2 linked regions of the Drosophila melanogaster genome follow. The protein of the gene in region 1 interacts with the protein of each later gene in a biochemical or structural test. Each region holds a gene or a part of one and is shown in the gene's direction. Other genes may lie near its edges.

Region 1 (4,978 bases):
GCGTTTTCACCACGTGCGCGTTGGACACGGGAATCCGCTGCACTTCCTCGTAGCTCTTAGTGCTGTAGAAATACAGGTTCGCTTCGGCCTGGCCCTTCGGAAGCGATTCTCCGGTGACTAGCAGACGGTCATCTGGACTAAAGCAGCAATCTGTTGTGTCGTAGCGGGAGAACAGGTTTGTCCAGGTATGCAGCGGCTGTTTGAACTGCCGCAGATCCCAAAGCTTCATGGTCTCGTCGTTGCTGCGAGTGGCCAACTGCTGACCCATGTACGAGAACACAATGGAGGTGATCTCCGAACCCTTCTGATGCGCATCCCTGACGCAGTGCGTGGTGTTCACAAACATCTTGCGCGTGTCCCACGTCTGAATGGAACCATCCACGCAGCCCGCTGCTATGAGTGTGGCGTCCCTGTTAAAGTTGCATGATGCTGCGTTGGTGCGGAGGCCTCCCTGCGCCCTTGTCTTGATCACCTGCAACTGTTCCTTGGACTTCAATCCCTGCCAGATGCGCAGAGTACCGTCGAGAGCTGCGGTCAGGAACTGCTCCCTGTTAAATGGATGCCAGCAGCCGGAGGTCAACTGTGCCACGTGGCCCTTGGTGCGCGACATGTCCGAGATATACTGGTCGCCCTTGCAGCACTCCAGTTTCTCGAATCCATCGCGGTCGAGGACCTTGGCCTGGGCGTTTCCGGAGATGACCAGGATCATGTCGCCGGTCACGGAGTACTGGAGAGAACGTATGGGATGGTTCTCGCACGGCTGCAGTTGCCGGAAGCTACGCATGCTCGAGTCCATGCCGGCGAAATCCCAGAAGCACATATCGTAGTCTATGGAACCAGAGACCAAGCGGGCACCCGAGGGATCGCCAGCCAGGGCAAGGACAGCGCGGGAACCGTGCTGCATCTGCACCTCGTGTGTGTAGGGTATGCGCTTAGCAAGGCTTTGTTCGTCATCTGAATCTTCATCGGACGAATAATCATCGTCATCGGAGTCTTCGTCTTTGGACGATTCCTTCGTGGCTTTCTCCTTGTCTGTGGTCACAGCTGGTGGTAGGGGACCTATTACGTCCTCCTCTTCCTCGTCTTTCTGGTCATCCTCCTTCGGCTTGGACTCCTCCCTTTTTTTGTCCATTCCCGGGCGGGTAACTCTCGCCTTTTCTATCTGCTCGTTGATGTCGAACACCTTGGCCGCCTTGCGACCAAAGCCACTGATGCCCATCACTTCCTTGAGGTGCTGGCTCTCCAGATCTTCGGCCACGTCCTCGATCTGCCGAATCATCTGCTCCTTGTCCATTTTCTTGAATCCTCCGCCATTTCCGCTGGCTTCAGTGGACTCCTTTGCATCTTCCGCCTCGGTTTCGTTGGATCTTGGCTCCGCAGGAGGTACGTTTACATTCAGTTTGATTTTCCCGAAGGAAATTTTACCGCGTTGCATAGTTTTAAGGCCCCACGCTAAGTGGATTTTCAAATTTTTAATTAAAACTATATTTCTCTGAAAATATGCGGTAAATATTTTGTAAACAAGTGAATTAAGTGACCGTTTATATTCGGACTGTCAATTTGGTATTTTAAAAGATCGAGCGAATTGTTATGGTCTTTAAATAAGCTCTGGCTTGCCCATTAAAATTTTTCAATTTAATAATGACTCATATATTGTTCATGTATTGCAAACAAGATATATATAAACAATAAAGGAAACTGCATTGGAATATTAAGAGTTTATATCGATTGCAATTTAAGAATAGTGCACTCAAAAATACTAAACACACATACGGTCACTCTAATATAGCTGACTGGCGTCTAACCTAAAATTAGGCGCGCAGTGTTGTTTTGTGTCTGCCGGAATTATTGTAAATTGGTGACAATTTCGCAAGGCGGCGTAATACATAGTTGATCTATTATCTTGTTACTGGAGAGGAAGAAGTGCAGGATGACAGACTCTCTGGAGTACAACGACATAAACGCCGAAGTGCGCGGAGTCTTGGTGAGTCGCAAAAAAGCCGGCGTATTTTGTCACATTTCGCATGACCGAGGTTTTCCATTTCCCTGCGCGCAAAAAAGTGTTCCGGACGCCTAAAGATGACCGAGCAGAACATCATCTTCAAGAACACCAAGACCGGCAAGGTGGAGCAGATCTCGGCAGAGGACATAGACCTGATCAATTCGCAGAAGTTCGTGGGCACCTGGGGACTGAGGGTGTTCACCAAAGGCGGCGTGCTCCACCGCTTCACCGGATTCCGCGACAGCGAGCACGAGAAGCTGGGCAAGTTTATCAAGGCTGCCTACTCGCAGGAGATGGTCGAGAAGGAGATGTGCGTCAAGGGCTGGAACTGGGGCACCGCCCGCTTCATGGGCTCCGTCCTGAGCTTCGACAAGGAGTCGAAGACCATCTTCGAGGTGCCGCTGTCGCACGTTTCGCAGTGCGTGACCGGCAAGAACGAGGTCACCCTGGAGTTCCACCAAAACGACGATGCGCCCGTGGGTCTACTGGAGATGCGGTTCCACATACCCGCCGTGGAGTCGGCCGAGGAGGATCCGGTAGACAAGTTCCACCAGAACGTAATGAGCAAGGCCTCGGTCATCTCGGCTTCGGGCGAGTCCATCGCCATTTTCAGAGAGATCCAGATCCTCACGCCTCGCGGTCGCTATGACATCAAGATCTTCTCGACCTTCTTCCAGCTGCACGGCAAGACGTTCGACTACAAGATTCCCATGGACTCGGTGCTGCGGCTCTTCATGCTGCCCCACAAAGACAGTCGACAGATGTTCTTTGTGCTCTCCTTGGATCCGCCCATCAAGCAGGGACAAACGCGTTACCACTACCTGGTCCTGCTGTTTGCTCCCGATGAGGAGACCACCATTGAGCTGCCATTCTCGGAAGCCGAGTTGCGAGACAAGTACGAGGGCAAGCTGGAGAAAGAGATCTCCGGGCCGGTGTACGAGGTGATGGGCAAAGTGATGAAGGTGCTGATCGGTCGAAAAATTACCGGACCCGGTAACTTTATCGGACACTCTGGCACGGCTGCAGTGGGCTGCTCGTTCAAGGCTGCAGCTGGATATCTGTATCCCCTGGAGCGAGGATTCATCTATATCCACAAGCCACCGCTGCATATCCGCTTTGAGGAGATTAGTTCTGTGAACTTTGCCCGCAGCGGCGGATCCACGCGATCTTTCGACTTCGAAGTGACGCTCAAGAACGGAACTGTTCACATCTTCTCCTCCATCGAGAAGGAGGAGTATGCCAAGCTCTTCGACTACATCACACAGAAGAAGTTGCATGTCAGCAACATGGGCAAGGACAAGAGCGGCTACAAGGACGTGGACTTTGGTGATTCGGACAACGAGAACGAACCAGATGCCTATCTGGCTCGCCTCAAGGCTGAGGCGAGGGAAAAGGAGGAGGACGACGACGATGGCGACTCGGATGAAGAGTCCACGGATGAGGACTTCAAGCCCAACGAGAACGAGTCCGATGTGGCCGAGGAGTATGACAGCAACGTGGAGAGTGATTCGGACGATGACAGCGATGCTAGTGGCGGCGGAGGCGACAGCGACGGCGCCAAGAAAAAGAAGGAGAAGAAGTCCGAGAAGAAAGAGAAAAAGGAGAAAAAACACAAGGAGAAGGAGAGAACAGTGAGTAATGTTTGCTTATTATTATAGCTTATGGTAACATGTTTTTATATGTTTTTATAGAAGAAACCCTCCAAGAAGAAGAAGGACTCTGGCAAACCCAAGCGCGCCACCACCGCTTTCATGCTCTGGCTGAACGACACGCGCGAGAGCATCAAGAGGGAAAATCCGGGCATAAAGGTTACCGAGATCGCCAAGAAGGGCGGCGAGATGTGGAAGGAGCTGAAGGACAAGTCCAAGTGGGAGGATGCGGCGGCCAAGGACAAGCAGCGCTACCACGACGAGATGCGCAACTACAAGCCTGAAGCGGGCGGTGACAGCGACAACGAGAAGGGTGGAAAGTCCTCCAAGAAGCGCAAGACGGAGCCTTCTCCATCCAAGAAGGCGAATACCTCGGGCAGCGGCTTCAAGAGCAAGGAGTACATTTCGGACGACGACTCCACCAGCTCCGACGACGAGAAGGACAACGAGCCTGCCAAGAAGAAGAGCAAGCCCCCATCCGACGGCGATGCCAAGAAGAAAAAGGCCAAGAGCGAGAGCGAACCGGAGGAGAGCGAGGAGGACAGCAATGCCAGCGATGAGGATGAGGAAGATGAGGCCAGTGATTAGGGCCATAAACACAACAAATCAATTCCATAAACACACACCACGCTCCTCACACACCCATGTCCCAAATCTAGTTTACATTCGCCTAGTTTAGTTAAGTGCTGCCTGTTGGATACAGACCCATACGTTTTTGTTTAATTAAAACTCAACAACAATTCGAAAGTTCAAGTAATTAAACAGAATTGATAATTGCCCGTAATGATTGATATCTATCGATTATGGTTTCGCTTGACTGGCTTTTGCCACTTTCGTCAACATTATAATGCCACAGTTTGCCAGTTTTTAATGGCTCTTTGGTGAACTTAGTGATGGCCACGTTGACAGAGTTATTCCTCTTGTTTGGGCTGTGGCACATTTTGCAGGCAAGTTCGACCGTAAGCTAGGCCGGCTGGGATTATGAACCGAACACTAGCTCACTTCAGGTCCAAGGAGTTGCCAAGTTCACAAACATCGAGTGCCTGAGTGCGGACGAAAACTTCACCACCGTTTCCCTGTGCCGATTGTACGCCGTAAAGAGGGATGTCGTCGAAATGAGTCTGCGGGCCAACATCCTGCGATGGCCAAAAGGTCCGGTATCGGTGAGTTAGTTTGCAAAGCTAGGGCGTTCCTGAATGCCATAGTTGAATAGCTATCTATAGTAGAAAATGCGAGTCCAAAACACTAGTAATTAAACAACTTGAAACCTATCCATGCCTAAAACCAATTTATGTTTTGAATTAATGAAATAACTATAAACCTGTTT
Region 2 (3,713 bases), on another chromosome or scaffold:
GCAGTAGATAAAGCCGCACTGGATGAATGTGTTGTCCATTACCACTACATTTATGTTCTTTCCGCAGTGCAAGGGAATGTATGGAAGACACTGAAACCGAATAAATGCAAATGACAACTGTGTACTTGATGTTTTTTTAAGTTCTGGCTTACGTCCTCTTTGTATCCCAAGTCCGAGACAGACGGCTCAACAGGAGTTAGGATGGTCTTGAAAAGGCGGTTGAGGCTCCTATTAATATCGATCTCGGTCATCACCACGACCTGCATGCCCTTGCTGGTATCGTACTCACGTGACGAGTACTTGATATTAAAAACTAGGGACTGGTCGAGTTCGTACATGACTTCCCTTATGTTGGGACCCACAAAGCGCCTGGGAACTCCGCGTAATTTAACGGCTACGGGATAGCAGGTCAAACCAGCTAAATACGAACTGCATTCATACAGTCTTTCCAGCTGCGTGACTTCAACACTTCCGAAATCAATGAACACTACATAGATTTCCTTGATATTATCCACGTTTAGCACCATGGCGCGCGACATATGTCCCTCGAACTTGTAGAGCACAATTTGTCCGCAGACTGGCGTACTCTGCAGTTTGGAGGCATCTTTGCCCAGCATCATTACCTCCGTGAGAACTGTATAATAGGCGATGTCAATCTGAATGTCCGCCGAGCGCACATAGACCACGTTAGTCTGCTCGAATGCAGTAATTCTCACTTTAGATCCAGACGGCGGCAAGCCGGGTTTGGGGTACTTCCGGCCCACCTTTTCGTCAAGGTTAAGTATCTCACCCTTGCCGCAAGCTTGCTTATGCTGCTCTGCCACATCGGCGAAACAGGAGGCATTGCAGAAGGGCATTTTGCACAGCTTGCAGAAAGTGTCTGTCCAGTTTTGACAAACCACGCACTTGCTGACGCCGTCTTCCAGCAGGCTTTTAGTTTTATCCTCTTCGGTGACAGCAACCGTTGACCTGAGTGATGCAGAAACTATACTCGTTAGCTAATCAAGGGCACGTGACCAGGTGGCTATACTAACAAAGGAATCGTTCTGCCCGAACGAAAGTGCAGAACGACCTGCGGGATTCTGGTCTCATCCTTAAGCTTGTAGATATCATGGCGCTCCAGTGCGAATTCGTACTTTACATTGAGATAGCGTTGAATGGGGTCGTTGGTGGCCAACAATGAACCTCTTTTGTAATCATCTTTGGTGACCAGCGGTGGCCGGAAGAACTCCGGATGATTTTGTCCTCCGGTCGAGATCGGAACCTCTCTGTTGTGATTCACTGGCGTACGTTCAGTGGCCGAAATTGCTGGGCCTGGTGTTGGCATTGGCTCAGTGGAAGTCACCGGATCGCTGGTGATTTCCCGCTCCTTTTGCGGGCGACCAGTGATGCACTTGATCAGGTTCGGGTAACGCTGCACCCGCTGTTGCGCTGTCTCCAGGGATCTGGAAAAAGGATTATACGCTCGAAATATTGAATGACCTGCGAAAGTGCTTGAAGAAACTCACGCGATATTTTCAAAGTAGACAAAGTATACGCGTGACAAGCGGCGGAACTCCATCTCCTTGATGAGCGCCCGACCGAAGAAGTTGATTAGCATCTTTTCGGTCACATAGGGACTGCTTTTTGGAACCACCAAGTATGGATACTTCGCCTGCCTGGTGGCACGTTGCTCCTTTTCGTCCTTTGGCGGCAGCGGGGCTTCCATGATTAGTTTCTGGCCAGACTCGTTAGTGTAACGGTTGCCCACTTGGTCATAGTATTCCCTGGACATTGGATCGAATGCGGACCAATCATCCTGCGAGGATTCGGATTCCATTGCACCTGAGCTTTAAAATTTCACCTGAATTCGAATTGCAAGCGCGTGCGAGTGTGACCGTTTTCTATGCTGTCAGAAGTATGTTGCTATTGTAACTGTTGTTGAAGTCAGCAAACGGTCACACTGGCACTAGTGAAAAAAACCAAGCCGATTTTAAATATTGTAAACAATCTTGTAAAAACACAATAAAAAATGGTTAAAAACGAGCCCAACTTCGTGGTGGAGCGCATCATGGACAAGCGCATTACCAGCGAAGGCAAGGTTGAGTACTACATCAAGTGGCGTGGCTACACGTCGGCGGACAACACCTGGGAGCCCGAGGAGAACTGCGATTGCCCGAATCTCATCCAGAAATTCGAGGAGTCGCGCGCCAAGTCCAAGAAGCGCGGCGAGAAGAAACCCAAGTGCGAAGAGATCCAGAAGCTGCGCGGCTACGAGCGCGGCTTGGAGCTGGCCGAGATCGTGGGCGCAACGGATGTGACGGGCGACATCAAGTATCTGGTGCGCTGGCAGTTCTGCGACGAGTTCGACTTGGTGCCATCGGCACAGATCGTGGAGAAGGATCCGCAAATGCTGATTGACTATTTCCAGAAGATGGCACCTTACTCCCGTCACATTGCGATGCGAATGAAGGGCGTGCCGGAGGAGCTGCGTTTGGCGGCCTCGCGCACCAGTTATCCGCACATTAGCAGTGCGCCCGTCGAAGTGCCGCCGGAGGTGGATCAGTCCGCTGAGTTGGCTGGACATCTTGGTGGAATCGCGCCACAGGTGGACCAGGCGCCGCAGCACCATGCACCCATGGATCTAGCCAATGATACCGACGATTTGGCTAGTGTTTCGTACTCGATTCCCGTGCCCGGCGTTGGCGACATTGCCATCGATGTGCCCATGGCGGAAAATCAATAAGGACGCGAGCAGAATCGACTGTTCAGTCTTTAATCTAAGCCCCTAAGTTTAATTCATACATATGTATAGCTATCTGAAACCACTGGGTTCGTCCAGATTCATGTGACCCAACTGGCCGGAGCGAAAGAAGTGAATGAACTTTCGCGCGGCCGCCAATAAATTTGTCATCACCTCCACGCGTCCGTCGTACTGCTTGACCTTGTGGAATAGCTCCTCCCGATGAGCGTACTCCGCCAGCACGGCGCTGATGTCGTCACTGGGTCCGGAGCTGAGCTTTAGCATCTCCACGTAGTCGTATTTGCGGTGGCTATTCAGCCAGTACAGCAGATAGTCGGCTATCAGATCCTCGCCCACAATATGATCGGGAAGGCAGCCCACCAGGGCCAGTTTCATGCCCATTTCATCATCCTTAATGGAGGGCTGGAGGATGCCGGGTGTGTCGATCATGTAAACAGGCGGATTCTCTTGGATTTTGATGCGTTCGCCGACGGATCGAGTTATACCCGCCTCGGCACCCACGCGTGCGGCGCTCTTCTTCTTGAGATGCACATTTCGCAGCACATTGATCACGGAACTCTTGCCCACATTGGGCACGCCGATGATCATCAGATTGTGCTCGGCAGCTTGGGTGCGATTGAAGCGACTGCTCTCGCTCACGAGGCGCGTTGCCAGGGGCAGGATGTCCAGCACGCCGTTGTTGCGCTGATCCTTGCAGTTGGTGAACAGGATGTGCTGCAGTTCGGGCTGCTGTCTCCTCAGCTGCTGGAGCACGCTCTTCTGCTGTTTGGCGCCCAGCAGATCGACTTTGTTCAGCACCAGAATATGCGGTTTAACACCACTTCCTGGGGAATATGAGTCCCGTATTAAGTGGCAGCTTATGGTTGTAAACGTACTCACCGGTGATTGTGTCAAAGAACTGGGAGTTTCTGCCCGCCAATGGGATGCGTGCATCGTGAATCTCGACTATGCAGTCTACATTTCGTAGTTT

Evidence for each region.
Region 2: the proteins of Ssrp (region 1) and HP1c form a complex in vitro, tested with the Drosophila melanogaster proteins (one study listed by BioGRID).

The regions. Positions count from the first base shown.
Region 1 is NT_033778.4:23,805,816-23,810,793, reverse strand, and holds Ssrp (structure specific recognition protein), read left to right. Parts: upstream 1-1,789; 5' UTR 1,790-1,930; coding exon 1,931-1,984; intron 1,985-2,061; coding exon 2,062-3,633; intron 3,634-3,693; coding exon 3,694-4,239; 3' UTR 4,240-4,433; downstream 4,434-4,978. Other genes in the region: CG5543 (uncharacterized protein), read right to left, coding at 1-1,435; CG5539 (uncharacterized protein), read right to left, coding at 4,965-4,978; CG13561 (uncharacterized protein), read left to right, coding at 4,545-4,598, 4,659-4,814. UniProt on the Drosophila melanogaster protein: Component of the FACT complex, a general chromatin factor that acts to reorganize nucleosomes. The FACT complex is involved in multiple processes that require DNA as a template such as mRNA elongation, DNA replication and DNA repair.
Region 2 is NT_033777.3:22,743,706-22,747,418, forward strand, and holds HP1c (heterochromatin protein 1c), read left to right. Parts: upstream 1-1,914; 5' UTR 1,915-2,011; coding exon 2,012-2,725; 3' UTR 2,726-2,794; downstream 2,795-3,713. Other genes in the region: vret (vreteno), read right to left, coding at 1-90, 153-969, 1,035-1,445, 1,509-1,819; CG17141 (uncharacterized protein), read right to left, coding at 2,795-3,567, 3,623-3,713.